Linked DNA regions of Struthio camelus. The protein of the gene in region 4 purifies or fractionates together with the protein of the main gene of each other region. This does not show direct contact. Links are inferred from orthologs where the notes say so. Each region holds a gene or a part of one and is shown on either strand. Other genes may lie near its edges.

Evidence for each region.
Region 1: the proteins of CANX (region 4) and TMPO purify together in Homo sapiens (affinity purification with mass spectrometry; 3 studies listed by BioGRID and IntAct, with this or other methods). This does not show direct contact. The link is inferred for Struthio camelus from reciprocal best matches to the Homo sapiens genes CANX and TMPO.
Region 2: the proteins of CANX (region 4) and ITGB1 purify together in Homo sapiens (affinity purification with mass spectrometry; 3 studies listed by BioGRID and IntAct, with this or other methods). This does not show direct contact. The link is inferred for Struthio camelus from reciprocal best matches to the Homo sapiens genes CANX and ITGB1.
Region 3: the proteins of CANX (region 4) and EDEM1 purify together in Homo sapiens (affinity purification with western blotting; 6 studies listed by BioGRID and IntAct, with this or other methods). This does not show direct contact. The link is inferred for Struthio camelus from reciprocal best matches to the Homo sapiens genes CANX and EDEM1.

The regions. Positions count from the first base shown.
Region 1 is NC_090942.1:53,314,913-53,322,247, reverse strand, and holds the start of TMPO (thymopoietin), read right to left. Parts: upstream 3,006-7,335; 5' UTR 2,841-3,005; coding exon 2,598-2,840; intron 1-2,597. UniProt on the Homo sapiens protein: May help direct the assembly of the nuclear lamina and thereby help maintain the structural organization of the nuclear envelope. Possible receptor for attachment of lamin filaments to the inner nuclear membrane.
Region 2 is NC_090943.1:16,831,239-16,838,166, reverse strand, and holds the start of ITGB1 (integrin beta-1), read right to left. Parts: upstream 3,010-6,928; 5' UTR 2,748-3,009; coding exon 2,739-2,747; intron 1-2,738.
Region 3 is NC_090955.1:2,469,817-2,476,648, forward strand, and holds the start of EDEM1 (ER degradation-enhancing alpha-mannosidase-like protein 1), read right to left. Parts: upstream 3,023-6,832; 5' UTR 2,932-3,022; coding exon 2,537-2,931; intron 133-2,536; coding exon 60-132; intron 1-59. UniProt on the Homo sapiens protein: Extracts misfolded glycoproteins, but not glycoproteins undergoing productive folding, from the calnexin cycle.
Region 4 is NC_090954.1:6,908,264-6,915,217, forward strand, and holds the start of CANX (calnexin), read left to right. Parts: upstream 1-3,940; 5' UTR 3,941-4,022; exon of another isoform or gene 4,023-4,121; intron 4,122-5,799; exon of another isoform or gene 5,800-6,055; intron 6,056-6,547; exon of another isoform or gene 6,548-6,698; intron 6,699-6,954. UniProt on the Homo sapiens protein: Calcium-binding protein that interacts with newly synthesized monoglucosylated glycoproteins in the endoplasmic reticulum. It may act in assisting protein assembly and/or in the retention within the ER of unassembled protein subunits.

The DNA.
Region 1 (7,335 bases), on a different chromosome or scaffold from region 4:
ATACAGAATGAATGCACAAAGTTAAGCTATGTCCAAAGGAACACCAAAAATCAGGAATCACAGAAAGCGCAGTGGGCCAGAACCCTCTGAAACAGAAAACTACACAAGTGCTCTTTCAAAGGCATTTACAAGTTAATACTAGCTTCGATTGAGTCATCCTTGATTGAAAAAACCTCTTGCAATTTTCAAATTAAACAGCACTCAAATTTAAGAGCAATATGGGAACCACAGAATAGAGCAGACCAATTAAAAAAATCCCACAGAATATTTTTGTAATGTGTTTCTAAAACATCAAAATGCTTGATTACATTAAATAGCTGATTGTCTACAGATTTAGAACAACTGGTTGCATTTTCCTTTCAATATACGTAAGTCAGTACTGTCATTTTTCCAGACCTGTAACATACATAAAAATGGAGCTAATAAAGCATTGCAATTTTGTTACTCATATCCTAGCCTAACAAAAAAATAAAAAAGCAATGCTGTTATACTTACACAGGTGACAACGCAGTTGCATTTCCATATGCACCCACTGAAAACTGTTTTCTGGTCTTTTACAAAAATGCATAAAACAAATACTTGAAATAAAAAAAATGAAGTTATCCAGAGGAGTACAAGCCTCAGTTTCCTCCCTTTTCCCTATATTCCCAGTTTCCTCTCTTACATAGATTTAAAAAGCAACAGGAGGGAAAGTAATCACTCATACCAGCTTCTTTCATTTTGCCTCCATACCAGAACTCCACTCCTCTACACATCAGACCTTCTTCACTCCTTTTCTCCCTTCCAAACATTTTGGAGACATATCACTCTGGAGGCCTGTATGTTATTCTATTGGAAGGACAGCAAATCAAAGCAGCACAACAGCTAATCAAGCTACAAGTAGGTTCAGAACTGCCTAAGTTGTACTATGCATCAACTGAGCTATCAGGGAGGGGAGGGGTGCAAAAGAAGCAGAACCCACCAAATTCCAACTGTTGCCACTACAATATTCTCTGAAGTTTTGCATCAAGGTGCACTGCTCGGAAGTTAACACACAGGAAGACTAGCATAACTAGCACAGAGCCTTGCAGACATTATTAACCAAAGTGCAAGAGTACCACCCATTCTGTAAACAATAAAATAGTCATCCATAATTGTTTAAGTGAAAGGACTGGAGAAAGGAGAGGGAAAAAAATCAGGTCTTGGGACTTCAGAAGTTGAGACTTCCCTCCTCTTACAACTCAAATTCAAGGTCATTCTCTTCTACTTGAAAGCACCTTAAAATGCTACAGGCAGATCACTGAACTGGAGAAGCGCCTAGTCCACGGTTAAGTGTTCTACAGTGAACATCAATTCAGTATTTGAATTAGGCACATATTAAAAAGAGGTAAGCAATTTAACTAAAAATCTCTTCCTCTTTCAGTTACAATTTTCAGTTTCTTAAACTAAGAACTGTTAGTTGTTCAGATTTGTATATGCTGTAAGTACAAAAAACCTTCGAAAAAGTCTGGTCCTCTGCAGCCTCTTTACAGATAAACTTTGAAAGATTATTTTTTGCAGACACGAGTTTTTTTTATACGAATTACAACTCTAGTAACCGGCAAACACCGCAGAAACCTTTACGCAAGATGAGTCAGTGTGTTCAGCTTCAGATTATGAAAAGATTGCTTTTTAAAGTATACATAAATTTACAAGGCACTTACTAAAATAACAATAAAAAAATCATATTATCGAACATAGAAAAAGTTTAAGTGTCCTGAGCTACAGCTACACCTTTTTCCTTGCACACATGCTGGTATAAAGTCTAGGAGAGCAAGTAACAGTTAATCAGCTGAATCCTTGCAGCAGAGGCATTTTGCTATGAAACACGTGCTCAGAGGTATGAGAAAGCCAACTATATTAAGCAGACACTCTTTACACTAAAAGAGTCCACTCCATTAAGCAAAACAAAGAAGCTGTTCCACCACAGTTTCATCCTCCCATCCGAGAGGGGACATTCAGATCAGGGTTGTTTCAGTGCAACTGAATTTATAGGAGGCTCCTGTCTAATGTTCCTGAGACGAAGCCTCGTGCACACTTTCTCTTGCTTTGTTTCTCCAACACTTGAGCACTTTCGCAACGAGACCGCCAGTCAAATCGAAGTCGAGACGTCCCAAGTTTACAGCCCGGGGATCTCACGTCCCGCACTCCCGGCGGCCGCGGCGGCTCCCGCGTTCAGCCGCGCTCCGCGGCCGCCGCAGCGGGGGCCGCGCCGCAGCCGCCGCTACCGAGAGGCGCACACGCGGGACGCGACCCGGGGGCAAAGCCGGCGGGCTGCCGGGCACCGCGGGTCCCAGTTAGCGGTCACACCGGGAAGAAACCCGCCGGTACGGGGCGGCCGCCTAGCAGCGCGCCCCGACCCCGCTCCCTCACGCCAGGGGCGCGATCGCGCCCTCGGCCGGGCCTCGCCTCGCCGCAGCCGCCCCGGCGGGAAGGCGTGCGGGCAGCCCGGGCGCCGCACGGCAGCCCCCGAGCCGCGGGGACCGGCAGGGGCGGGCGGGCCCGTTCGGGCGGGAAACCGGGCCGGGGCCGCCGGGAAGCCCAGGCAGCGCGGTGGGGGGGGGGCAGGCTGCGCTCACCCGGCCGACGGCGGCACCCCGGCTCCGGGCGCCGACGGGCGTGGGCTCCCGCTCCTCGTCGCTGGAGAAGTCGGGCTGCGCGGCGGCGGGCGGCGGGTTGCGGGCGGTGAGGTGCTGCAGGTAGAGCTGCACATAGACGTCCTTGCGCTGCTCGCCGCCCGGCAGGCTCACATTGTTAGCGATCAGCTCGCTCTTCAGCTTCTCCTTGGTCAGCACCGACGGGTCCGCCAGGAACTCGGGCATCGCCGCCGGCTGCCGCCCGCCCGGGAGAGGCACCAACAAAGCGCGGGCAGAGCGGGAGGGGGCGGGGAGGGGAGGGGGAAGGACTCGCCTGCCCCGCGCCAGCGACCCAGCTCCGCGGCGGGCGCGCGCACCGAGCGCTTCTCCCAGCCGGCAACAAGGCGCGCCCCGATTGGCGGGGAGGGGAACGAAACGGCCCTGTTATTGGCTGCCGGGCGGAAAAAGGCAGCGGCGCGCGGGTTCCATCGGCGTTAGTGCTTTGCGCGAGGGATAGTAACGCAGTTTAAATTCGTCTCAGGCGGGAGAGGCGCGCGAGGCAGCGCTGCCGCGGGGGGGGAGGGGCCGCCGCCGTCCCGCTCCCGCTCCGTCCGTTCCCCCCACTCCTCCACAGCGAGGGTCCGCCTCGTGGCGGTGAGGCGGCGGCGGCGGCGGGGTGTTTTCCCTTGCCGCGCAAGGGGTGAGCGCACCCCGCGCGGGTGGTGCCTCGGGCCCGGCCCTGCGCCCTTCCGCGGGGGTAAGGAGGGCCTGGCGCGCCCGCCTACAACCTGTTGCGGGAGTGCCGCGGGCTGCGTCGCCGCCGCGGCTCCTCGGGCACCGGCTTCCCCGGCGTGATCGACTTGCAGCGTTTGTCACGTGCTGGTCTTCAGTGTGCTCAAGCGAATGCCTCGCAAATACATTTAAAGCGTCTTCTCCCACAGTAGCCGAACTTTCTGTTACCGGTAGCGAAGTGCTTCACTTCCACTTAACGCGCTGCCAGCCTAGAGAAGAAACCCAACCAGGAAAGCGCTAGCTCGTCTCCTAGTATAACTGCGGCAGCTGTGATAAATTTTATGTTCAAAGATGCTGGAATCCCTTCTAACGTATTGGAAAAGTTAAAAGGCGGGTGTAGTCACTGCATCGAGCTGGTTTCAAAAAATTCACAATAGTCTCTCCCCGCTGAGGAAGTGGTAGGACTGAATCGTAAGACTGCAAAGTCTTTAGGACAAGTGAGTTAAATCTTTCTGTATTTACATAGTGCTTGCTGGGAATATACACTGCTATAAATCTTGAATAAATTGTATGGTGAGAAGTTTAATATTTAGATCTGAACGTACATCCTATGTTTGTGGGAACCATACTGTAGTTTCACAGCTAAGAAGAACTGAAATGTGAATCTATTTTAATTTGCCCATAAAACATAGATGTGAAACCAGGTGAGTACTGGTTGCATCCACTCCTTTACGTCGCCAGAAGAGAATGGTTTTAAACTGTTGTTGAGAAAAAGAACGTCCTGCTTTTGGTTTGTTCGATCAATGACAACAGAGGCTGTCATTTGTGTTTACCCAGCCATCGCTACCGTCTTGGCTAGATGAAGCTGCTGAGGGCCGTTTTGGTAAAAGAGAATTTGCAGGCAAATCCGGCACCCACCCACAAAAAGTCTGATGCTACTGATTAATTAGTGTAGTATAAGAAAGCAATTAATACAAGGGAGAAGCTTAGCTTGGGGACTTTAATTTTACCCCCACTGCAAGTAATGATACGCTGTGGTCATTGTCTGCATTCCTAATAATATATATCTAAAATGAAGAAACTATTCAGTTCTTACTGTTCTATACACTTTATCTGCTCAGTTTGTTAGACAATGAGTCTGAACTGTGGGTAGAAATATTTTTCTTCCATTAAGAGCCTACCCTGAGCAAATGCTGCTACTCCACTGTGATTTGACTACTATCACTTATTTTTAAGCCCAAATGGAATAAATTAGATGGTCCAATTTATTTTTCAGCATACCTTACCCAATGTTTTTCCTGCAACATGGGTATCACATAAGAAGTGTTCTGGAAATGCCTAGTGAAAGTTGAATTCCTCTCCAAATCTGACAGTAGTAATTTAAAGTGTAGATCATTTGTTTCAGGATTTGATTCAGATAACAAGCCAGTTGCAGACTAACATGGAGCATGCTTCAGACAGGCATTATGTGAGAGATTCTTCAGCTATCATGCTATCTTAAAACAAGAAACTCCATTGGCGTTGAGTCACAAACGTTTTCAAGCAGTGTAAGGGAAAACTGGATCTGGGAAATTTTAAACCAAAGTTAGCAGTGAAAATGCAATCAAAAAATTTGATGCGGGTTCCATCTAATAACCCCACAGACAACAGAGCATTCTACACTTTAGGCTTGAAGCTTGTTTTCTGCTGCTGCTGCTTCTTAGTGGAATTCAGCCGCAGTTTGCAACTCCTTGTAAAGTTCAGAATATGCACTGCAGTTGATGCTCCTTTCATTACGAGTGACCCTCAGCAGTGGGAGGAATGAAAAACGTTGATCTTCAGGTCAGTGCTCACCCTTCAGTCTAAGTATTTTGATGGTTAGTCTGCTTTTAATGCATTTAGTGTAGCATAAAAAATGCAACAATGAGATGATAATGGAGCAGTAAATCACTACAAAGTTACACCGCCAGTTCAGATTTGTTCAAAATAACTAGGTGGGTTAACTGGCTTTACGTTGGGTCTGTCTTTTTGTCCTCCTGGAGTCAGGCAAAGCTGGCTTAGAAGAACAAAGCCAGCAGAAACTCAGCATCATATGCTTTGGCTAATTGCTCAAAATCCAGTACTAGTGATTGTGGAACTTCAGGTTAACGTTACTTACAGTTCATATTTATATTCCGTTTCTGTTTCAAAAGTTATTTCCTCAACCATAGAAATATGTATTATTTGTCATGAATGATTTTCTCAGTTATACTGTTAAACGTCAGTTGGCGTAACTCCCTTGCTTGGACACTGGACTCTTACCAGCTTTCTGTTAGCTGCTTCCCAAGTTACATGAGCTAAATGGGAGATGAGCACTTGTTTCCTCCTCATGGAAAGTTATGTTATATTACGCTTTTAATATTACCTTATTGCAGGCCAGTAGATTTCTGTGAAGCAGGGTCCATAGAAAAACCTGTCAAAAAACTGTCCTTTACATCCTGTATAGTATCAAGTTGGCATACACAGTTCTACACTTTTCATTTTTGCTCCTTGGGAGCAACAGGCATTCTCCAGACAAGGTAAAGAAAGGGGAAGAACTAGGAGAGGTAATCAAAACGTGTACCTACGTTATGATTAACACTGGAAACTGCAAACCTGCAGCTATACCCACAGTTAGAGCTCAGTACATTTGAGGATCTGCATTTTTCTTGTTTGTTTTGTTTGAATGAAAGAAAGCTTAAATTTTGCAGCATAAGATAGCAGCCAGAAGGAAAAAGGGAATGAGTTCATTAGGAACGAGCTCAAAAGATCTTTCTAATGTTCTTACAAGAAAAAAAAAAGAAACCCTAAGCGATCTGTACGCCGTTTAGCTGTTTTGCATGTTAAAGGTTGAAATAGAAAACTATATCGCTTTGTGAAGCATTCCAGTACTTTAAATGAAATGTGTATGCCTTACCTCAAATTCTGCTTTTCAAGGGCTGAAACACCTGCTTCTACCTGAGAAACCTGTAGTCAAGTGTTACCTCCTGTCAGTATAAATGCAGGTGACAAAAAGGTTTAGGAAAAAAGTGAAAATTGGAAGTACAAGACTATGGCCATTTTCAGTGGTTGAAAAATTACTGTAAGCTTGCCTAAAAATGTGAAATATGCTGAAAGCAAAAGCCAAAAATACTTCCTATGTAGGACCCTCCCAAATGTCTGGAATTTTTTAGCTTTCCTGAGTGTGAGAAAGAGATTTTCAGTCATGCAGACTTTGATATGAAAACACTGAAGCCCTTCTAAATTATCTCAGATTTTTAGCTTAGAGTTTTGCCAGCTTTACAATTCTTAACCTCTAATGCCACACGTAAAAATGAGACCTTGTTTATGTTGCGCTACAATATAAATGTTAATTTTCTATGTCTGTGTGTTTAAAGATTATCCTGAGTTTAGTAGAGTTTTTGGATAACATTTACGCCATCAGGAAATATACCTTTATAATTTGCATTCATGTTTAATCTTTGTCTCATAATACATGGTAAAATTGTGAAAACTGTAAATTCATTAATGACAAAGACATTTAATGAAGTGCTACAGGCCTGCCCTTGCCTTAAACTGAGTTGATATGGAAATCTTCCTATCTAAAGGAAATGTAAAAGTCCTATATAAAATATTAACTCAGTCTGGATGCACGGTACGCTTGAAAATGAAAATAACATTCCCTTTCTGAAAGGCAAGAGAAACTAGAAAGCACATTCCTATAAGTAAGGGAAGCAGTTCCTAATCATTAAGGCATAGTGTAACTATACTTTCTAGAATCACTCAATGCTTTTCCACATTCTGGATTAATTTAGAGAACTGAGACAAAATATATGGCTTTTTAATAACTCTACCTTTCTTATTAGAAATATCTTTTTAAGCATAATTCAAGTGTAAATGGCAAAGTGATAAGAAAAAAACATGCCTTACTGTAAGGACGTACAGGGCAACTCTCTCTTGGGGGAAAAGTTAAACCTGTTCCTGAATTTGCAGTGGAAATAGTTTTTACCAGGTGGACAGGCCAGGCTACCAC
Region 2 (6,928 bases), on a different chromosome or scaffold from region 4:
ACTGCATCTGCCTTTCCTGAAGGAGCTCAGACCTGCAGGGAGAAGAGGAATATCAGGGAACCTGTCTGTCTGTTTGAAAGAGAGAAAGAAAAAACAGAAGAAGAGTATGCTCAAAAGGACAGTCTTTCATGATTTACAGAAAGGGTCTCATCACAGAGCAGATATTTCAACAGAACTATTTCTAAAGGCCACGTTACCAAGAGGTATTGGCAGCCAGGAAGTCTGTAACAGGCTGAGCACAGTGCTGGAAGAACTGCCTTCTTGGAGAAGACTTAAGAGCTAAACATGCATCACTTCAGTTGACTAAATCAAGACTGCCGGAAAGGCAGGCACAACAGCTATTTACAAACAACTGAAGACCATTCATACCAAAAGCAGTAAGGGAATCATGTTCACGTCAGCCCAAAATACAGCATGCATCAACCCTGTGCTTGCACTGCTCCCTCTGAGCTTGCCTTTTTGCTACCTAAGTTATCTACTGCCTCAGCTGCTTGCTATAGCACTGCACTCTTTTTTACATCTGCATCACTACAGATGTACGCTAAGAAAAGTATAGGGGGGGATGGTGAAGAGCAGAGGGATGAAATCATGAATCGGGAAGAAAGAACAGCAGGAAAAGCTTCCGGACAGTTTGTATTCAGCTGTGGGAATCACCTCCCAAAGGAAGTGGTGGAAGATTAACCCACTTGAGTCATTTAGAACTAGACAAGACAAACACTAAAATTATGCCCTTGTACCAGAAATTCAGGAATATGCTAGAGAAACTTGCATTCTTCTGCATCAGTTTTTCATAAAGGTGGGCAAAATTAGGCCCACCTAGGCCCTAGGATTATGTAGATCAGATTATCAAAAGTTTTAAAAAAACAAAACAAAACAGCAGACTGATCTCCCTGGCTGCATACAGAAAATCCACAGCAGCAACAAAAAGAATAGCAGTTTTTTAGCTGTTCAAGTTTTATTTTAAAATAGAACTGGTTTATTTATTATATGGCTGGCAAATAGCTATGGCACTAATCAACTCTAAATTTGATAAAGATGGGATTCTATTCTCCACGGTTGTCAAGTTTGCACCTTTCACTTTACTACGCATATTTGAAAAGGACAAAAGTTTAAGGCATCTTCATCATAAACTTGCCTCATCTTGCCTACATATTGCCAGCGGCTCACTGTTTTTGCAATCTTTATAAAGCAGCCTTAGGTAAGCTTGCAAAATGCTATGTAATCACTTGCTAGAGGCAAGTAATATTTTTTATGACAGGAGAATGTATCATCAGCTTCCTCATGAGGGTGGTTGTGAACTTTGCGCCTCTGCTAGAATGTCTTCACTACTCTGGAAATCTAGTTTAATTTACTCTAATTTACATATTTCTAGTAGCAAATTATTTCTTAAAAAAAAAAAAGTTGCTACCAAGTCATCTCATGTCATAGTTGCAAACTGATTTGCTTAGGCTACCACCATCACTTACTGAATGACAAACGTACCAGAAGCACAGATTATCTAAATCTATTTGCATATATGCAAAGTCCTACTCCACTTCAATGCTTAAGTACATGCTCAGCACCAGCCATGCGTGGTTTCACTGATCTGAATCCTTGCTCCTAAAGATATATGTGTGTTGGCAGGAACAGGACTGTAGCAATACAGCAAGGGCAAATCTAACAGAAAAATCACCATTTGCACCTGAGAAGTACAGGCACATATGTTGGCATGAATGGACTGCTGTGTTATACCAAGGGCAAATCCGAAAAAAAAAAAAAACCCAAAACAAAACAGGCTGGGTTTTTTTTTCTCCCCAGAATGAAAAATATTCTCCAAGTTTAATCAGCAGTCTGACATTCATTCCATCAGATAAAGAAATCTAACATTGGGTCAAAACACGACCTAAGCAGTGAGTCAGAAAAGAATTTTCTGTCACTTTATGTTTCCTTCCAAACATCGTGCGTATGAAGATAACATATTAGACATCTCGCATGTTAGACCAAACATTGCTTTTGCATTGCTGTAAACTACTCCCGAAACCATCAGCAGAACCAGACCGTATAAAGCGGCCTTACGTTCCCATAACCCCACTTTCATCCTCAAGTAAGCTAACAGCCAGCTGTAAAGGCTCACTGCCAGCTTAGAGCAAAAACGCACCAGCTTCAACGGCAGGCGAGTCGAGCAGTCCAGTGGCTGCACCGCGACCGCGCAGCCGTCCCCACGGCACAGAAGCCTGCTCTCAACGGCCGACTGTAATAGCCACGTTCAGGCCAGGGACTCTAGAGACAGGCGGGTGGTGAATTCCCGCACGGAGGCACTCTTCGCGCTCTTATTCCTTATTTCCTGACGCCAGCCCTGACCGCTGCGCGGCCGCCGCGCCAGCCCCCTCGCCTCGCCTCGCCTCGCTCCGCAGGGCCGCAGGGCGCCCGCCGCGCCCCGCGCTCGCCGAAAACTTCGGCTCCCCGCCCGCCGCCCGCCCTGCCGCTGCGGCCGCGGCCGCTCTCCGCTGGTCGCCGCGCAAGCCGGCGGCGCGCACAAAGGCGCGGCCCGGCCGCCGCCGTCCCACCGCGACAGGAAGCCGCGGCCGGGCCCGGCACCTTCCCGCCTGGTCGCAGCAGGCGGGCGGGCTGCTGCCTCCCCCCCGCGGCGGGGCACCGGCGCCGGCGGCGACTCCCCGCACCGTGAGGAGCGTCTCCCCCCCCCCGCCCCCGCCGGCACCGCTTCGCCCGCTCCGATCCCCGCCTCGTCCTCCCGCTACCTCGGCCATGGCCGCGGCGCTGCTGGCTCGGGACAGGGGGCGCGCTCCGGCGCGCCCGACTGAGGCGCCTCCTCTGTCCCGGGAGCGCGGGCTGGGCGCGGCGCGGCTGGGCTCCCCGTCCGTGTGTCGGCCCGTCCGCCCCGGGCCGCTCCGGCGCCGGCGCCGCTGCGCTCGCCTCAGAGGTGCTCGCGGGGAGCCCGGCGGGGGCGGGGGCGGGGGGACGGGGAAGAGGCTCCGCGCTCAGCCTGCTTTTACCCCGCCCCGGAAATACATAATACAGAATACATTCCTGTCCGTTGCCGTCAAACCTCGGGCGGGAGGGGAAGAGGGAAGGGCTCTGCCTGGGCGAGGGGGGCCGGGCCGGGCCCGCCGCCGCCGCCGCCGCCCGCGCTCCCTCAGGAGCGTCGCGCCGCCGGCCGAGCCGCGAATACCTCCGCGGGGGGGGGACGGGGGGCGCTCCGCCGGGCAGCTTTCCAGGAGGGCTTTTCTCCTTCTTGTCGTCTCCCCCCTCTCCCCCGACTTCGTGCCAACCTTCATCACCTTATTTGGTGGCGTTTTTATTCGCGCTCCGGCTCCTGGTTGCCGGGGGTCGGCGGCGGCTGCCTGTGAAAGGCGGTTTCCCGCCTTTGGGGCGGGGGGGGGGAGGCCGCCATGTCTGGGGCGTCCCCGGGGGTCGGGGGGCGTCCCCAGGGCGGAGGGGCCGCCGCGGGCAGGCGGCTGTGCCGCATGGCGGGCTGTGCGCGGACACGCGTGACTTCGGGGCGGCGCGTTCCCCTGGCTGCGGAGGGCAGGGCGGCGCTGCCGGGCGGGCTGGCGGCGGGCACCGCGCCTCTCCGAGCTGGCGGGCGCTTAACTTTCACACCGGACCTGGGCACCGGTTTCGCTTGCCGCTTTGTCGTTAAAAAGCCGGATCGTTTCTTTTTCAGGCGTCCTCCTTCCTCCGGCTCCAGCTGCTGCTGCTGCTGCAGTTCCTCCTCGCTTCTCTTGGCTCTAGTCACCGCTGTGAAGTGGATGCTGCGCTGCATCTTCCAGTTGCCACCTGGCAGCAACCGCTTCCCAGGAGCGGCGATGAGCCAGGCCGCAGCCGCGTCCAGCCCTGCGGCCACGGCCACGCGAGGCGAGGAGCCCGCTGAGAGGCCGCGTGTCCCCGCGCTTCGGTGGGGCACGCCGACAGGCCGACACGCTGCAGCGGTGCTCCCTAGTCAGAGCGCCGTAGGCACCTGGAAGAGCTGTGGCGTGGTAGAGCTTTTAGTGGATAATCGGCCAACCAATAATTAATTGCGAAAGTAAGGAAGGTTAATGAGCAGATGAATGGCTTGGGCGTTACACTTCATGCGTATCGTGCTGTTACACTCTAGGAGAAGACTAAAAAGTGGAACACTTAAGTTGCTTGGGCAGTACTTGCTGCTGATTGACACACGCTGTTAACGTTCCTTAAACACGCTTTAAAATACATTCTTGGGAGATGTACTGGCAAAAAAAAAAGTGGTATTAAACACTTATTTGAAGGTAAAATCTCAAGGGAAATGTAATCTATGGACTCTACAGTTCACAGAGGCAGACTGTGCCTTTATGAGTGACCCACTGCTTGAGCCTCTGTCAGTTCTTATTTTGGTATGATTAACTAAAGTGGTGCTGCAAGCTGATAATCATTTTATAGCTCTTCTTCTGCTTTATTATTAGTTGTGCTGAAAAAATAAAAAAACAGGGCTTCTGCGATTCAAATGTATGTTCAAATTGGCCAGTGCAGTTCTTCAGGATGTAGTCTCTCAATGTAGCTGCACTAGCAGAAGCTTTTAATGCTGCTACAACTATAATTTTAAAACTGTTTTAGTGGTGTTAGAAAATGAAATTGAAATGATAGGCTGCTGTTCAAAGCAGCTTCATCAAAGGTGAGCACAACAAATGAAGTGGAAAAGAGAGAGCTTTCTGATTGAAAGATAAAGAAGGCAGAGTACATATGTTGCATGTTAGATTAGTATGTAGTATTAATACTGCCAGAAATAAGGAAAGAAACTGCTATAAAACCAACCTTTTTAAAAAGTATGCAACACAAAATAAAGGCAAATGCAGAAGGGACAGCGATCTGCCAAAAATGTAAGAAATTTAAGTACTGAGGGGAGAAAAATGGCAGTTAGCCAAAGTCTCCTTCCATGCTCCTGTATTTCAGGAAAAAACCACGTTTTGCCAGAATATAAAAATGATGAGTAAAAATATACTATAGTATACTGCAAGCAGGTAGTGACAAAAATAGCCCTCATTCTCACTGCTATGTTTTGCTGAGACTGTGAGGTGTAAATGAAAATGTTTAGCAAAGAGATGCTTCAGGCACTGCTACATTGAGCTCAAACGCTGGTGTGTCACATTGACAGTGGCTGGCTGTGCTGTGCTACAGGATGTTGGCAAGAAAAATCCCCCAAACTGCTGGAAAGCTTACTGAATTATTTGACTGCTTTCTGGACTTCTTTTGGAGCATACAGATGCGTGTGAGGGCCATTTGTTATTTTCTAACACTTCTAAAGTACTAAAGATGTCAGAAGAAGTGCTTGAGGTATCTGAGCCAGCAGTTGCAATTGCAGATGATGTCAAAATGTTTATTGCAGTGTCTCCATATTATGGTATACATGACATCTGTGAGAGTGAACATGTTTTGCATGAAGGAGCTCAAGAAACTCCTGATTTTCATGGGTTGTTCAGGCAGCTAGGAAGTATGCTAGTCATTGTTAGGCTTGGTTTGTTAGTACTAGCCCAGATGGCATGTTCTGGTTATCCACATCCTTGCATCTCGTGGAAGATGGATGAGGAAATGTGACACGGGGGACAGGATTATGAAATGTTGTGCATTCTTACTGATTTATTTGATACTTCTGGATTTGCTATTGTGTTTTAGCTACATTTTTATATGTTTATGAGACAGCTTGGTTCTTTGTTACAAGATTTGGATACAAGTCCTTGACTCGTCCTTCTCCAAGTACTTGTGTGTTGTTGAACCAATATAATAACTGAAAAATACCAGAATTAAAATATTTTCGGTGAGTTTAATTAGCTTAACTTTATTAAAATACCATTTCATTTTCCTTTTTTTTAATGTGTATTTTATACTTGGGTTATGTTTAGAAAACAAGAAAGCCTGTAATTTGGTAATGACGCCTTTCAATTTGTGTGTAGCGTATGTTCCTTTTCTGTGAATGCTGTAAGAAATAAATTCCTGTGTTGTAGAGTATACCATCCCAGGAGAACTGTCGAAGTGATGTGTGCAGAGATATCAGCAAAAATAGCAAAACAGTTTGTAAGATACCTTTCATTTTTATGATTAATTGCATACCATATTATTGAAAAATTCAGACTTCTTAAGTAATCATTAAAATAAATATTTTAGTATATTATTTCTTTGAAAATATCTGAAGTATATTTTGCACATTAAATTACTTGGTAGGTACAGTTGATTTATTTAAGTGGTGGTGTATACCTACTAGAGTTTTGCTTTAAAAGCACACTGAAGTTCTGCACACTTTCACTCTGTCTAGCAATCTTTCAGTCCAAACAACTAGCAATAAGGAGGGGCCCAGTGTCACAGAACACCACTAAGTGGTTGGTGGAGCACCAGTGGTCTGTAGGCCGTGGTTTGAGAGTCTTCGGCCTATTTTTGGTTCATTTTTTTAATATACAGAAATTACCAGCATGACCAGGCAGTGTTGTGGATGCAGTGTCAGTCTGTGTCTGTATCTTGCCTTGAAGGTACAGGTTTTATTACAAATTTAACAGGCATATCTAAGAGTCCCAAACCAGGTTTTGTTGTGTCCAGTGCACACGTTAAGAGGTAACATCTATCCCATGGGTCAACTGTTTAAACTGGGGTTTGTCAGCTGCAGCTGGGAGGCTGTAGCTGAGTGTCCCTGCAGTGCAGCAGTCCCTCCTGGTTGCCTGGCTAATAACCTTAGCAAGGGGCGATCATTCACGTGCCTCAGGGACTGCCGTATCCCTGAGGAGTAGGAACTGGTTGGTTGGAGAAGCTACTGCAGCTTCTGTGTCATTGGGATATTTACTTGGCTGCAGTTTCCCAGTGGCTGCACACTGCTGTCTGTCCGATCTGTTTTGATGGGTAGCAAAGCCCACATGTCCAGGGGTGTCATGGCCTTGGCTCCTGCCAATGTCATGGCGTTTCCCCCACCTTCTCTTCCTCCACCCCT
Region 3 (6,832 bases), on a different chromosome or scaffold from region 4:
TTCCATTATCTCCCAACGCAAATATGGGAATAAAACATACAGATATTTTGAGAACTCACCGCTAGGGTATCCAGTGCGTCAATCAGAGTTAGTGAGTAGTTTCCCAGGACATCATTGATATTCAGATTTGAACTGGGAAAAAAAAAAGTTAGAGACTCCATATTAGGATAAATAGAACTCCAAGAAAACTGTCACGCTATCTGAAAGGCGAGCAACACATCCGTCTTGTTTTCTTCAGTCTCAAATGTAAATTTTTCAACTCACAGAAAGGCCAAAAGCTAATAAGAAAAAACAAGGCCGTGACCCCTTAAGTTTCAGCTACTCCGCTTTCAGCATGGGTATAAGGGCCCTTCTGGGTAGCTGGCCAAAAAAAAAAAAAACAACAACAACAAAAAAACACACAAGACTACACAATAACACACCTCGGAAGGGCGATTCAGGAAACCTGCATGCTGAGCTATGGCTCAGCATGGCAAACAAGAAACAGAAAGCAAGGGACACCTTTAATTTAGGGCTGCAAGAGACATCTCCAGACCCTGCTTCTCCAGTACAGATATCTACCATTATTCTCTAAGAAAAAGTGAGCACCATACTCTCAAAATATAGAACGAAGGCTGGGGCAACAACTGCTTTTTATAATATCTTACGGATAGGAAGTTGCCCAGGAAGCAGAAGTCAGCCCAAACCCTTATTTGGCTCAAGGGGGGATATAAATTTGTATCCTGTCTATCTAACCCCCATCTCGGGGGCATTTCTAGTTGAAGGCCCCTCTCCCAGGATGCTACGCAGCATGGCACCGAGTAGCAGGGCACGATCCTGCCTTGTTAAACACAGGGCAGTGGCAGTCCCTCATGAACCATGGGTCCTGGCCCTGCGTCCCACACTGGCTGGGTATGTTGTGTTCATTTATTAGAACAGGGGAGAAAGGATTTACTAGAAAAGGGATTTGACTGCAGCCGTTCATAGCTCAACTCAATTCATAGCTGTTCAGCTGTATCAAAAAGGTAAAGTTACTCAAAGACATTTAAAAAAGGGCAGAGGAACCTGAGAAATTTGTTACCTAACCCTGGCTGTCAAAGAACCCCAAGTTCTGCATTCCAGCAGAACAAAAACCCATCAGATTTCGCACCCTCTCACCACAGGGGCAGAGGGCAGCAGCCAGGGTACCTGGGCCGGGCCCTAGGGAGACCCTCCCCTTCCTCCCCCCCATGCCAGGCCCTGAGAAGACCCTTCTCCCTCAGGGATCCCCCCAACCCCCCAGGCCCCTCAGAGGAGCCCTCCCTTCCCCTCCCCAGTCCCCTGAGGAAATCAACCTCCCACCCCCCTCCTGAGTCCCCTCAAGGGACCTCTCACCCCCCCCAGTCCCCTCAGGGAACCCCCCATCCCCCCTCAGTCCCCTGAGAAGACCGATTCCCCCCCCAGTCCCCTCAGCAAAACCTCCCACCCCTCCCCACTCCCCTCAGCAGTCACCCCAGTCCCCCCCCACCCCCCTGAGGAGACTGACCCCCCCCAGTCCCCTCAGGCCCCCCCCCAAACCACCCCCCTGTCCCCTGAGGAGACTGATCCCCTCCCCAGTGCCCCTAGGGGACCCCACAACCCTCCCCAGTCCCCTAACAAGACCGATCCCCCTCAGTTCCCTCAGGGGCCTGAACCCCCCCCACCCAGTCCCCTCAGGGGACCCCCCCCTTATCCCCCCACCCCATCCCTTGAGGAGACCGACCCCCTTCCCAGTCTCCTCAGGGGACCCCCTACCCCCCCCTCATTCCCCTGAGGGGATCTATCTGCCCCCCCAGTCCTCTCATGGGACCCCCCCTACCCCCCCCAGTCCTGAGAGGGCCGACCCCTCTCCAAGTCCCCCCTCAGCGACCCGATCCCTCCCCAAGTCCCCCCAGGGGAGCCCCTACCCCCCCCTCAGTCCCCTGAGGAGACCGATGCCCCCCCCAAGCCCCTTCAGGGGACCCCTCTATCCCCCCCCAGTCTCCTCAGAGGACCCCCCAACCACCCCCTGACCCCTGAGGAGACCGATCCCCCCCCAAGCCCCCTCAGGGGACCCCTCTATCCCCCCCCAAGCCCCCTCAGAGGACCCCCCCAACCACCCCCTGACCCCTGAGGGGACCGATCCCCCCCCAAGCCCCTTCAGGGGACCCCTCTATCCCCCCCAATCCCCTCAGAGGACCCCCCAACCACCCCCCGACCCCTGAGGAGTCCGATCCCCCCCCAAGCCCCCTCAGAGGACCCCTCTATCCCCCCCCCAGTCCCCTCAGGGGAGCCCCCAACCACCCCCTGACCCCTGAGGAGACCGATCCCCCCCAAGCCCCCTCAGGGGACCCCTCTATCCCCCCCCAAGTCCCCTCAGGGGACCCCCCAACCACCCCCCGACCCCTGAGGAGACCATCCCCCCCCAAGCCCCCTCAGGGGACCCCCCCTACCCCCCCCCCCAGTCCCCTCAGGGGAGCCCCCAACCACCCCCCGACCCCTGAGGGGACCGATCCCCCCCCGACGCCCGGCGGAGGAAGGGGGGGGGGTGGTCACTCACGGGTCGCGGCGGTCGGGCCCGCGGCCGCGGCAGTGCAGCGGGTCGAGCTCGTCGCGGGGGAAGGCGTGCCGCATGTAGCTGTCGTAGCCGAAGGCGAACATGCGGCGGGCGGCGTCGCGCAGCCGCGCCCGCAGCTGCGGCGGGAAGGCACCGCTGTAGCGCGCCTCGTACTCATCCCCCCCGCCCGCCGCCGCCGCCCCGCCGCCGCCGCCGCCGCCGCGCAGCGAGCCCCAGTGCGCGCCGCCGCCGCCCGGCGCCCCCAAGCAGGGCGGGCGGGGCGCGGCGAAGGGGAAGGCGAAGCGCGGGCGCAGGCAGAGCCCCGGCGCCAGCCAGAGCAGCGCGTGCAGCCCCAGCCTCAGCAGCAGCAGCCCCAGCACCAGCGACCGCCATTGCATGGTCGCCCGCCGCCGCCGCCCCCCGCCACCATCGTTTAAAGGCGCCGCGGCGGCGGCCTCCCCACGGCCGCCCCAGCTCCGTCCGCCTCGCCTTTAACAGCGGAAGAGAAACACGGGCGGCGGGGCGCGGCTCCCATTGGCCGGCTCCTCCGGCCGGCGGGAGCGCTCGCCGCTCATTGGGCGCTACGCCACGTCAGTCAAAGGGAGACAGAGAGGCGCCGCCCGCCTTAAAGGGCCGCGGGGCGAGGCGGTGCCGCCCCGGGATGTCGTGGCGCGCCGGCCGCGAGCGAGGCGAGGCCCCGCCCCGAGGCCCAAGGGGGCGGGGCCTGGCCGCCGGGCCCGCCCCGCCCTCAGAGCGGCCGTTAACGGCCACGCACCGCCCGCGGCGGCGGCGGCGGCTACACAGGGGGAAGGGCGAAGAGCCTCCCCCGCCGCCCGCCTTGGTTTCTAAGGAAAAGGCGCACGCTTTAGACCAAAAGCGGCAGCCCCCTGTAGGGAAGACGCGGCGGCGCTGCTCTTCGCCGGGGGCCGCCCGCAAAGCGGCAAAGCCGAGCGGCCTGAGGGGGGCTGCGCCGTCGCGGGAGGCCGCTGCCGTCGGGGAGAGGCGGCTGGCGCCACCGCTGGAGTCACGGCGGGCAGGAGAGGTTATCAGCAGCGCGGAGCGCAAAGTCTGCTGGCCTCCAAAGGGAGGAGATTGTTACGCGCCAGTGCTTAGTTCACAACACAAATCCCTCTGCTGAGGGGGAATCCCAGAGAGGAATCGTGGTTACTTTTACTGGCTTTTTCTTTTTTCCTTTAAAGAAAGGAAATAAGTGGTGTCACTGGTGGCAGCTGCCTGCCTTCAAAGGAATGTCACGTCTTCTGGACAAAGCCCCCCACGAGTAGTGAGCTTTTTCCTTCAAGCGTGGCGGTAAGATTATGCTTTTCCCCTGCCAGCCTGTGAAAGTCCTGGGAGGCTTTAAAGTCGCTAGGAGAAACATCCAGTTACTACGGGGTCACACGCTGAAACATGGAGAGAAGCGGTGCCAAAGCTGCTCCTTGTCTAGCGTTAGTGTTTACTGGCACAGTCCCCACACCGGCAACCTGAGAGGGGGCTCTTTTAGTGCAGCACGCAAGGGCCGCGAGCCTTTAGCTGTCACAAGAAGTCAGGTCTGTCACTGCATGGCACTCAGCAAAGGCGAGGCCAAAAACGGTGCACGTCTAATTGACAGAAATAGCCGCCTTGCTGCCTGAAACTGGGCAACTCTCAGTCAATAAGGTGAAGTCCTGAGACTGAGAAACAAAAAAGTTGTTCAAAAAATCATTATACACACAAAGCGCTCTTCTTTCACCTGAGCTTTCATATAAAAGACATCTTTTCCCCCTCCCTTCTTCCTGGTGCAGAGAGAAAAAGTGGAATATCCCAATCACACTGTGAATTATGGCAAAGGTAGGACTATAACTCAGGAATAATGCTTTGTTCTAACATCAGGACAAGCTTTCTTCCTTGTCTTACAGAGAAAAAAGGCAAAGAGAAAACAAGGTAGCTGAGAGGAGGATTTGGAACGTGAGGACAAGGAGGGAGATCGATCATCAGTGTGGGAATTCAAGTTACACAACCAAAATAGTCATGAGTAGCAAGATGGAAAAAAAAGTAGAGTAAGTGTGACTACCGCAGTGCCAAAGATGTCATGAACTAATACGTTATGTGATTGTGGAAGTGAACGAAGAACAAATCCCAAGGCAGCTGGGGGTTTTAGGAAGTAGCATAAATGAGAAGAGCTGGCAAACGCAGTAACCAGAAAGGGTAGAGTTTCACAGAACAACCATCCAGAAAGTTGTCCCCTGCTGAGTACAAGGCTTATGGCCACTCTGTCAAAATGAAGTTATGTACTTACAGTTTGCTGGTTTCCATAGAAACCACTCTTCTAACACAGAGCACATACCGTCCCAGCAACCACTCTGCAACAGCTTTTGACTTTTTCCTCAAAGACATGCAATTTCAAGGTAATGAACAGACCCATTTACAACGTGACAAACAAATGGTACTTTTCCCTGACCGCCATGCCTAACAGTTCAACGTTTGTTCTTTTTTTTTTTTAAAAAGAGGAAATACATAAAAACATGAGGAAGAGCTGTATAAACAAAGCTGCCCATGTAGCATTCAAACAGCAGCATTCCCAACTACTCCCTTGAGCTGTAGGCTAAAGGAGAGGGAGGGACATTTTAAAATTAATCTTAGCCTCATTCATGAGTATATTCTAGATCACCATTTTATGAGAGTACCAGCTTAAAATGTAAAATTTCCTAATTCAATCAGGAAATAGTTCCTAAATTCGTTACTTGAGTGTATATGCCCGCCTGTACAAAACCAATACCACCTAGTCTCTTAATTCCTAGAAGAGCGCTTGAGAGAGTCAGCATGTTCACTCCTCTTACAGATGATCTATAGAATTAGATTTTAGCATAGATATTTTTGGTTTCGCTTGAGAGTAACAATGTTTCCCACAATTTGGTGATGATATGTCTAACAGGGCATAAAAACAGCTGTGCTACTATAGATGAATATGCAAAAGAACATTTTTTCAACAACACTTTTATTGAAGCACTTCAAAATGATCACAATAATAGCTGTCACCTTTAACAGAATAAAACCTGCAAAGTTGTAATTAAAAGGCACTAATCTGGGCACAAAGGTCTACTTACCCACCTTCCACTCTGCTGGAAATAAAAATAAAATGTTTTACCTCCCTTCTTTTAAAAGAGTATGTGTGCACCCCCTTTAAGTGCCATTCTGTGTTTGTCATTTAAATGACATGTAAAAGAAATCCCTGATATTCAACCAAGGCATACTTCAACTTTCATCATCTGTAGTGCTAAAGCAATATATTACTTTTAAAAGGTTTAAGGTTTAGCGAGATACGTCATTCTAAAGTCATTTTTAGAACAGAAGTCCCAAAGCACGGAGCGGTCTTAGGCTTTCACACGTTACTTCTCCTTTAACACTATTCATTGATTTGCTCTTCATCTAATCTGCAACACACAGCTCTTAGCAAGGCAGCTTAAAGAATCTGAATTATACCCACTATTATACCCAGTATTCATACAGCTATCTTTAGTGTATGGTTCAGTGCAAAAACAAGGCAGCAGGGAGCAGTGTTGAGGCATGCTACCAGTGAAGAAAGTAGTTTTACATTCATGAAACAGGCACAAAGCAAATCATGACATGCTAGCACACCCATTGCACAGCCAGAGTAAGTAACTATAAAATTAAATGTTAAAGGAGTTAAGAGAGCTTGATAATCCAGTTAAGTCATACTTGAATTATTATAGCTCCCTGCATGACACAGATATCTTAATTTAACCAGGGAGATTAAGGCATTTTCTTTGGCCTCCTTTCTTCCACCAAAAAGTGAAGATTATGCAGTTTTATGTCTGTCAGCATCCAAAAAGGACTTTCAAACCTGTTTCCATAAGGATGTAAAGAAAAAAAAAAAAACCCATAAATTAACAAGACACTAAATTTCATTAGTTCCATACTTCATGATACTGCTTCATACTCGTGCATTTTCCACGCTGCCAACTGGTAAGGCAGAATCGCTCTGTGCAACTGCTAGGACACTTAGCTGCATCAGCAGCCATGGTGAGAATTATGCTGCACCGTAATTTTGTTTAAATAAACCACCGCCCACACTGACATTGCATAAGTCGGCCGATAGGGCATTAACACTTCTCAAGGACTTTCACACAGCCCAGTGCTGTGGGTGGGTGCACAAACATTTCTTCCTGTCTAGTCTAGAGATCTGCTGCTCTGTGATCAGCAACACAGAGCAATCACTTAGAACTGAACAAAACGGACAACAAGTATTTAGAGCTGATGGCTGTTTTAAATCATCCAAACACCACAAAAGACTAATACACC
Region 4 (6,954 bases):
ACCACAGCACTGTCATTTGGCCAACCTCCTAATGCAAATCACAGTCCCTCTCTGGGTCATGGTTCCCAGTGGAGTGATCTTGCTGTCCTTTGCAATACAAAGCTTGAGAGTCACTGGTGCTCTTAGGCCACTAAGGCAATAGTCTGTGATTACCGCGGGCAGTTTGCAGCTCTACCTGGCTGAGGTAGAGTGCCATGTTTGCATCTAAAGGGTATGCTGCATTTCCCCAGTGAGGGAACAACAAAACACAGCTCTCAAGCCACCAAAAGACACCTGAAGTCGAACTCTTGCTGCATGTGTAGCAGCTATGGTCAGATAAAAATGCCGTTAAGTTAGGTGTCACACCCTCAGGGAGGACACAGTTCTGGGGACGTCTGAAGGACACTCTCAAGCAGATCTAGCTCTGGTCTATGAAAGAACTGGTGGAAAGGGGCACAGTTGGAACCAAACTGTGCCTAAAAACCTGGCGCAATGCCCACGCAAGCTGTAAAAGCTGTGATACAACCTAAGGAAACCATCAGGATTGCCATATCCTATGTCCAGACCGGACTTGCACCTCTTGTCTTTTCTTGGATACTTCTGAGCTTCTGGGTACCAGAAGTTTTTTGTAAAGTTCCTATTCCCAGGGGCATTTCCTAGCCTCTTCTGCACTTATGATATCAGATGGGTTGCTTATCTTCTTCCACTTCCTTACTGTATTTCCCTGTCTCCCTCCATCCATCTGCCAGTGCTCTGACTCTGGTTCGCTGCTGCTTCTCTTTGCTACTTACTCTCCTACCTTTATTACAATTAATTAAAAACATTTACTTACATTCACTTTTCTTACCTTTGAAAATGACAGGATTTTATTTTTTTGTTTTAGACATTTAGGCCCCCTCTGTTTTGATAACGTCAGTGAATCTTACCCTGCTCTTTTCTCGGAAGGGGTTCCCTCCAGATATCTCATTGTAAAGAAATGCGTTTTCCGTGGAAAGCGTACCAGAGCGCATGGACGTTGCCCTGTATAGGGACGTGGGCTTGTCTTCCCTCCTGCAGTTCAAAGTTTGAAAGAGCAAAAGTCAGCATTCTCCTGCTGGTCATCTGCATTTACTGCCTGCTCTCTGTCAGTGTAGTGTCACTAATGTCCTGCTACTTCTGGCTTGCTTTATTTTCCACTCGCTACTTGCCAGTTTTCCAAAGGAGACTGATATCTGAAAAGATCATCTACTAATGCTTGAAGCGCAAAGAGAACTCGAGCTGTGTGGCAACGCATTACAGAGACTTAAGAACAGAAAGTACCTGCTGAAAATGGGGGAGGCTTCTCTACCTGATGAACAGTCAGGGCAAGAAAAGTACCCCTATAGGGCAGCTGTTCAAAGCCATCATTCACTCGTAAACCGAGGACTGCCTTTCACCTCTGAGACCGACGTACCCGGAACGGGGAGTCTAAACGTCAGGCTTTTCTAGCTTAGCCGCACGGCCCGTTTTATGTCTTTCAGAATTTACTTCCAAAATGAGAGAACAGCACGCTCCCCATGAGTGTATCAGTGGATCTAAACAAATCTCTTGTGGTCAAGCCTGCACACACCTAAATGGTTTTCTTCAACAACGTCGTGTTTGCTGTGTGGTCTCTGCCATCCCTCTTTCCTTCATCGCCCCTGTCCCTGGCATTGCACAAACTGGGCTAAAAATACCATGTTCTCAGCTGCCAAAGCACTTAAACCTCTGTGCATGCTTCTTCTCTTCTCTTTCTCCCTCTTTTTTTTTCCCCCAGATTATCTATCTGTCTTGTGTTGACTGTGTATAAAATCACAGTGTAGGATGTACTTTTAGCAGCTTACGTGTTTTTTAACTTAGAGCTATTCTCTCCACGCCATGACAAAGCAGAACAGGCAGGAATGGGTTGCAGGGCCTCCTGCCTGCCCCATGATTCAGCAGGTTGTAAAAGGAAGCGGTGCCGTCTTTTTTGGGAGAGGGTGGCGGGAGAGAGAAAGGGGAGGCATGTGTGACGGGCGTGTGGGGGTATATCTGACTTCCTGGTGCTTGAGCTGATCAGAGCAACAGCCTAGCATGGTGTTATCCTGCAAGTCACAGTTAAGTAACTCACAGGCATGAATAACCTGTTTCAAAAGAGGGATATTTGAAGGATATTTGGTGGGAAGTTGGATTTTGCCTAGACTGGGGAGGGAGCTTGCTAAATTATACGTCTTTGTTACCCTTTAAAGTATTCCTCTGTGGTGTTTTTAGTTTGCTATTTTAAGGTGCTTGGTATCTCACATGCTGTTACGTTGTTTGTGGCTGCTTCTCTGCTTGTCTGCCTTGCATCTTCTGTGCAGGTTCTGGGTGTCAGTCAGTCTACAGGGAGGTTTAGGAGCCAGGTTAGTGGCTTTCCAGAAAAATGTGAGCGTTTAATTCCAAACTTCAGTGTAAACAGGGATTTGCTGAGTTCGTTTATGCTGAGCCTTATTTCTAAACGCTGGGTCCCTGCTTGCTTTGTCCTAACGTGGTGGAAATTTCTCTGTGGGGAGACTTATGTTGCTGACTCATTGTGTCAACTCAAAACAGATTTATGTTTACAAAAAAAATCCCTCTTCTTTCTTTCTCCTTCCCACCCCTCTTAGCAATATTGAATTTGGTATTCTTACAGAATACCTAGTATCTGCTGGAACAGGCTGTAGTCCGCAGGCCATACATGAGCTTGCTTTAAACCGGGGAGTTTAGATTACAGCTTTCCATTTAACTGTACTCATGTGAAACAGTTTAGATATACCTTAAAGTGGTATTACTGATAGGATAGCATGAGTCTGCTTTCCTCATCTTAGGTCCTTGTTCATCCCTATCTTACACCGCCATGGGTACGGGGAGCAGGAGGCAAGGGAACTCTTGAACGTTCCTCTTGTTCTCTCAGTTACTTGCAAACCGGTTACCCGCCTCATGCCTTCCCTTCCTATTCCAAACAATTGGGACAGAATTTCCTCATTTCCCTGGGCTTCTAGAGTCATTGAGACATACAGATGTTTAGCATTTACACGGCATTTCACTTATACAGAAACAGATTGTCAATTTAGGCAACACAGCATTGCTTAAAACTTCTGGTATTACGCAAGGCCTTCACAGAGGAGGCTGCCTGAAAGGTACTTCATGTTTTAAATAGGTTGGAGTATATGTTACATTTAGTGGTTTTCTTAAAACCGCAGCTTGCAATTGAGCAAAAAAAAATAGACACTTTTTAAAACAGAAAACCCTAGTCAGTATAGTACAAAGAATAAACTTTAAAAGCCCTGCCAAGAGGTTAAAGAAATAGAAGACAAAGATGAAACCGGTGTTTAATTTGATGGAGCCCGAGCACCGGGACAGGCAGCGGCCCAGGGCCTCCCCGCAGGGACGCAGCACGGGGCTCTGCGGTGAGGCGCCCCGGCAGGCCCGGCTGTACCAGCAGACACAGCGCTCCTCCGCGGCGAGGGTTGAGCCAAACCCCGCGGGCGAGGGGAGCGTTTTGGGCCGGGGAGGCGGCAAGGCGAGAACCCTGCTCAGCCCCCTGCCCTGCTGCCCCGGGCCAGGCAGTCCCTGCGGCACGGGGCCGTGGCCAGGACCCACGGCGGAGGAGGTGCGAGGGAGCGGGCTACGACTGGCAGAGCCGGGCCTGGGCGACGGCGGACGCTCTCGGACGCCTTTCTCCCACCTCCCCCGCCATTGCCCTTTTAAGCCCCGCAGCGCCCAGGGACAAGGAATCCGTTGGGTCTCCACCCACATATCAACGGCCTCCCTACAGCTAGCCAATCGCTGCGCACTTCCTGCAACCCGGCCGACCAATAAAAGCGCTCCACGAGGGGAAGCGCCGTTGGGGCGTGTTTTGAGGCGGGCGGACCGCTGAGCGGCGGCGCCCTCAGCCAATCGGAGAGCTGGACGGGCGGTGGGGCGGGCGGGCGGGCGCGCTGCCGGGCAATGGGGGAGCCGGGGCGGGGCGCGGCGGGGGCGGGGCTGGCGCGCGGTAGATAGGCGGGCGGCGGCGGCGGCGCTGAGCCCGCAGGCACGTGACGGAGGTGAAGGCAGAGGAGGGGACGGGAGGTCCGCGGGAGAGGCCGGGGGCGCGCGGGGCTGCGGCGGTTGGCGCTGTCGGGGGGCGCGCGTGGCGCGGTGAGGTGAGTGCGAGCTCGCGCCTCGCGGGCTGCCCTCCCCTTCCCCCCCCCCCTCGCCCTTCCCGCTAGAGACGGGGCAGCTCCGTGACTGGGGGGGGGGGGGGAAGGGGAGAGCGGGCCCGCTCGCGGGGCATGCCGGGGTATTGGCGGGGTGTGGGGAAGCCGGGCCGCCCTGAGGGAGGTGGCGGGGCAGGCAGAGCCCGCCTTGGTGGGGGGAGGGGGATGCTGGGCCTAGGATGTAGTAGGCGGCGGGGGGGCCTGCGGTGGGGCCGGGGGGGGCAGCCGGGGACCCCGAGAGCCGAAGCGGGGGCGCTGGGGGAGCCCGTGCGGCTCGGGGTGGGCTCTGGGTGGCTGCAGGCCGCGGGCAGGCCTGGCTGGGAGCAGCGGGTCTTCTGGTAGCTTCTGGGCTGGGAGGCGGGTAGGGGCTGGGCAGGGCCTGTGGCACGGCCGCAGCCGGGCAGCGGTGATGTGACTCTTCGCTGCTCCCCTACCGGGGGGGGGGGGGACGACGACGTACAGAGGCATGGTTTGGAAGAGGGAGTAAGGAGGGGGGGGTGGAGATGGATGGGCTGGCATGTGGTTTGGGTTTTATCTAGCTTGTGGCGTTAATGTCGGCAATGACAAGAGGGAAATAGTCTTCAACTACCTGGAAATGCCAAAACGCTGAGGTTAAATAGGTGGCTCTGCAGCGCTGGGGGTGGGGGTCGGTATAGACCATAGTGTGTGGCATGATTCGTGCTGGGGGAGAGGAAGTAGAAGCCTCTGGAAAGGGGGAGATGAAGGTGAAGAACTAGAGGCCCAAAAAGTGGCAAAGGCATGGTAGGTGCAAAGGCGTGAGTGAGGCCAAAGGTGAACTACAGAAGAGAAGACTTTTTAACAGCAAAGACTGAAGATTTTGAGGGTTTGAAATGCATACTTTGGCTTAGCTGCTGAATATTGTTTCTGTGTTGGGTGTGTAGCGTGCATGACTGAGGTCTTAGTTCTTGTTTATCACTCAGATTGTGTACTTTCAAAAAAAAAAACCCCTCACCTTTGAATTAAAGTGAGTGTCGTCTACTGCTTTCTTGTCTGTCCTGCTTCTAAAGAATGAACTTTCATATTTGGCTTTGTGTTTGAGAACTTTCTAGGCTATAGAACGAGAGAGGCTGCAGGTGACTTGATTGTGGAGGGAACCAGCTATGTAAATAGGGGAAGTATAACAGAGTATAAGACAATACGGTAAATAAGATATGTTACTCAATCTAGACACTGCAACTGAAATGACTTCAGAGACTCCTTTCCAAAGCCTACTGTTGGTTTGGTCATGCTACATAAGTTTATCCAAAATAGTAAACAAAACTAGAAGCAACTGGAAGAACCTTTGAGTTAAATGTAGTGTTTGCCCTAAGTTTCAATATTTCTAGTTCAAAAAAAATCCAGAAAGATGAGGAGTTATGAAGGGAATGCTAATATGCTACACATCCTACATTACGAGCCGAGTACAAGATGTACATTGTTTCTTGGCATCTAATGCCTTCCTAAGAAGGGAAACCTAATGCAGAGTACTAAGAAAGCTTACCACTTCCGTTAAAGTACCCTTTTATTTGATGTGTCCCAGCACTTCCTCTAAATAAATGAATAAATCCTTTACTAAGACTACATTAAAACTTGTATTTAGTCCTTCCTTTTGCTTCATTACTAGGGGCAGAAAAATTAAAGGTGAGAAAAGGATCATGACCATACCCTGTTCTCTCTGGAATTCATTCTGTTGCAGAGCAAACGTGAATTCATTCCTAGGCATGACAGTCTGAAAAGTCTTGAGGCATCTCCAGATCTCCCCCCACCTACCATAATTCCCCTAACAGCCCATCTGTTTTATGGTCCAAAAACCTTGCAGTTCTGTCTCTGTCCTCCAAGGACTTCCAGTTCTGCATGAATGATCTGCTTGCTGACAAAGGGTACGTGGTATTTTCTCCTTTACTATGTCTGCGCTGATGTATGTTATTTTTAGAAACTGACATGTTTGAAGTGCTTATTAAAATAAGCATTGTTGCTGTCACCTTTCATAGCTAATCTCTTACCTGGTTTATGCTCCTTACAATCCAAACAGAAGGCAGTTATTTCTGTGGAGCTATCCTTCTCTGTAGCAGAAGGTTTAGGTAATCCTCTCTAGGAGGAGACTATCATAAAGTCTTATGTAGCAGTGTATCTTAACCACCCCCTCCTGAAAAAGGACCCCTCACACAGCGCTCCAGCCTCTGGCTTGTTATAAGCAAGGCAGTTTTAGTTTAGCCTTGTTTGTTCACTGAGTTGCCATGTTAAAGGCAAAACCTTCCCAACTCTGAAAATGTCTGACTGCAGAGCTAAGCGTTTAAGGGAAAATATTTGTCTTGTCTGCATCATATGAGTTGCTGCATATATGAACATAATTTTTATTATGTCCCCGCTAGAGGAGCGGACAGGTAACTTACTGGTTTCTGGAGTGGTGGAACTTGGCCACAAAATTGGTTGTTTGGCTTGGCTGGAAATCTCCCAAGTCTGCCTGAAGACAGCTGTGTCTTTGAGAAGTGAAGAAGATAGAAATGCATGTGAACTACAACAGTAAGCTGACAGTGCTCCCAAGAGCTTAGTTTCCTTTATCCATGGCTGCTTACTATCTTAGTGCCATCGCTTGTCCTGCTACAACTCTTTGTACCTTTGTATGCTGGTTTGGACTAGGAGATTGATTGAGAGTTTAAAGTCACACAGCAGGAAAAACTTGTAACTGTCCTAAAACAGGTATTAGTCCACTATGTGGCTGTGTAAACAGTTACCCTGGCACAGCTGAGTGGCCAGGTTGTGCACAGTGAAGGGTGAG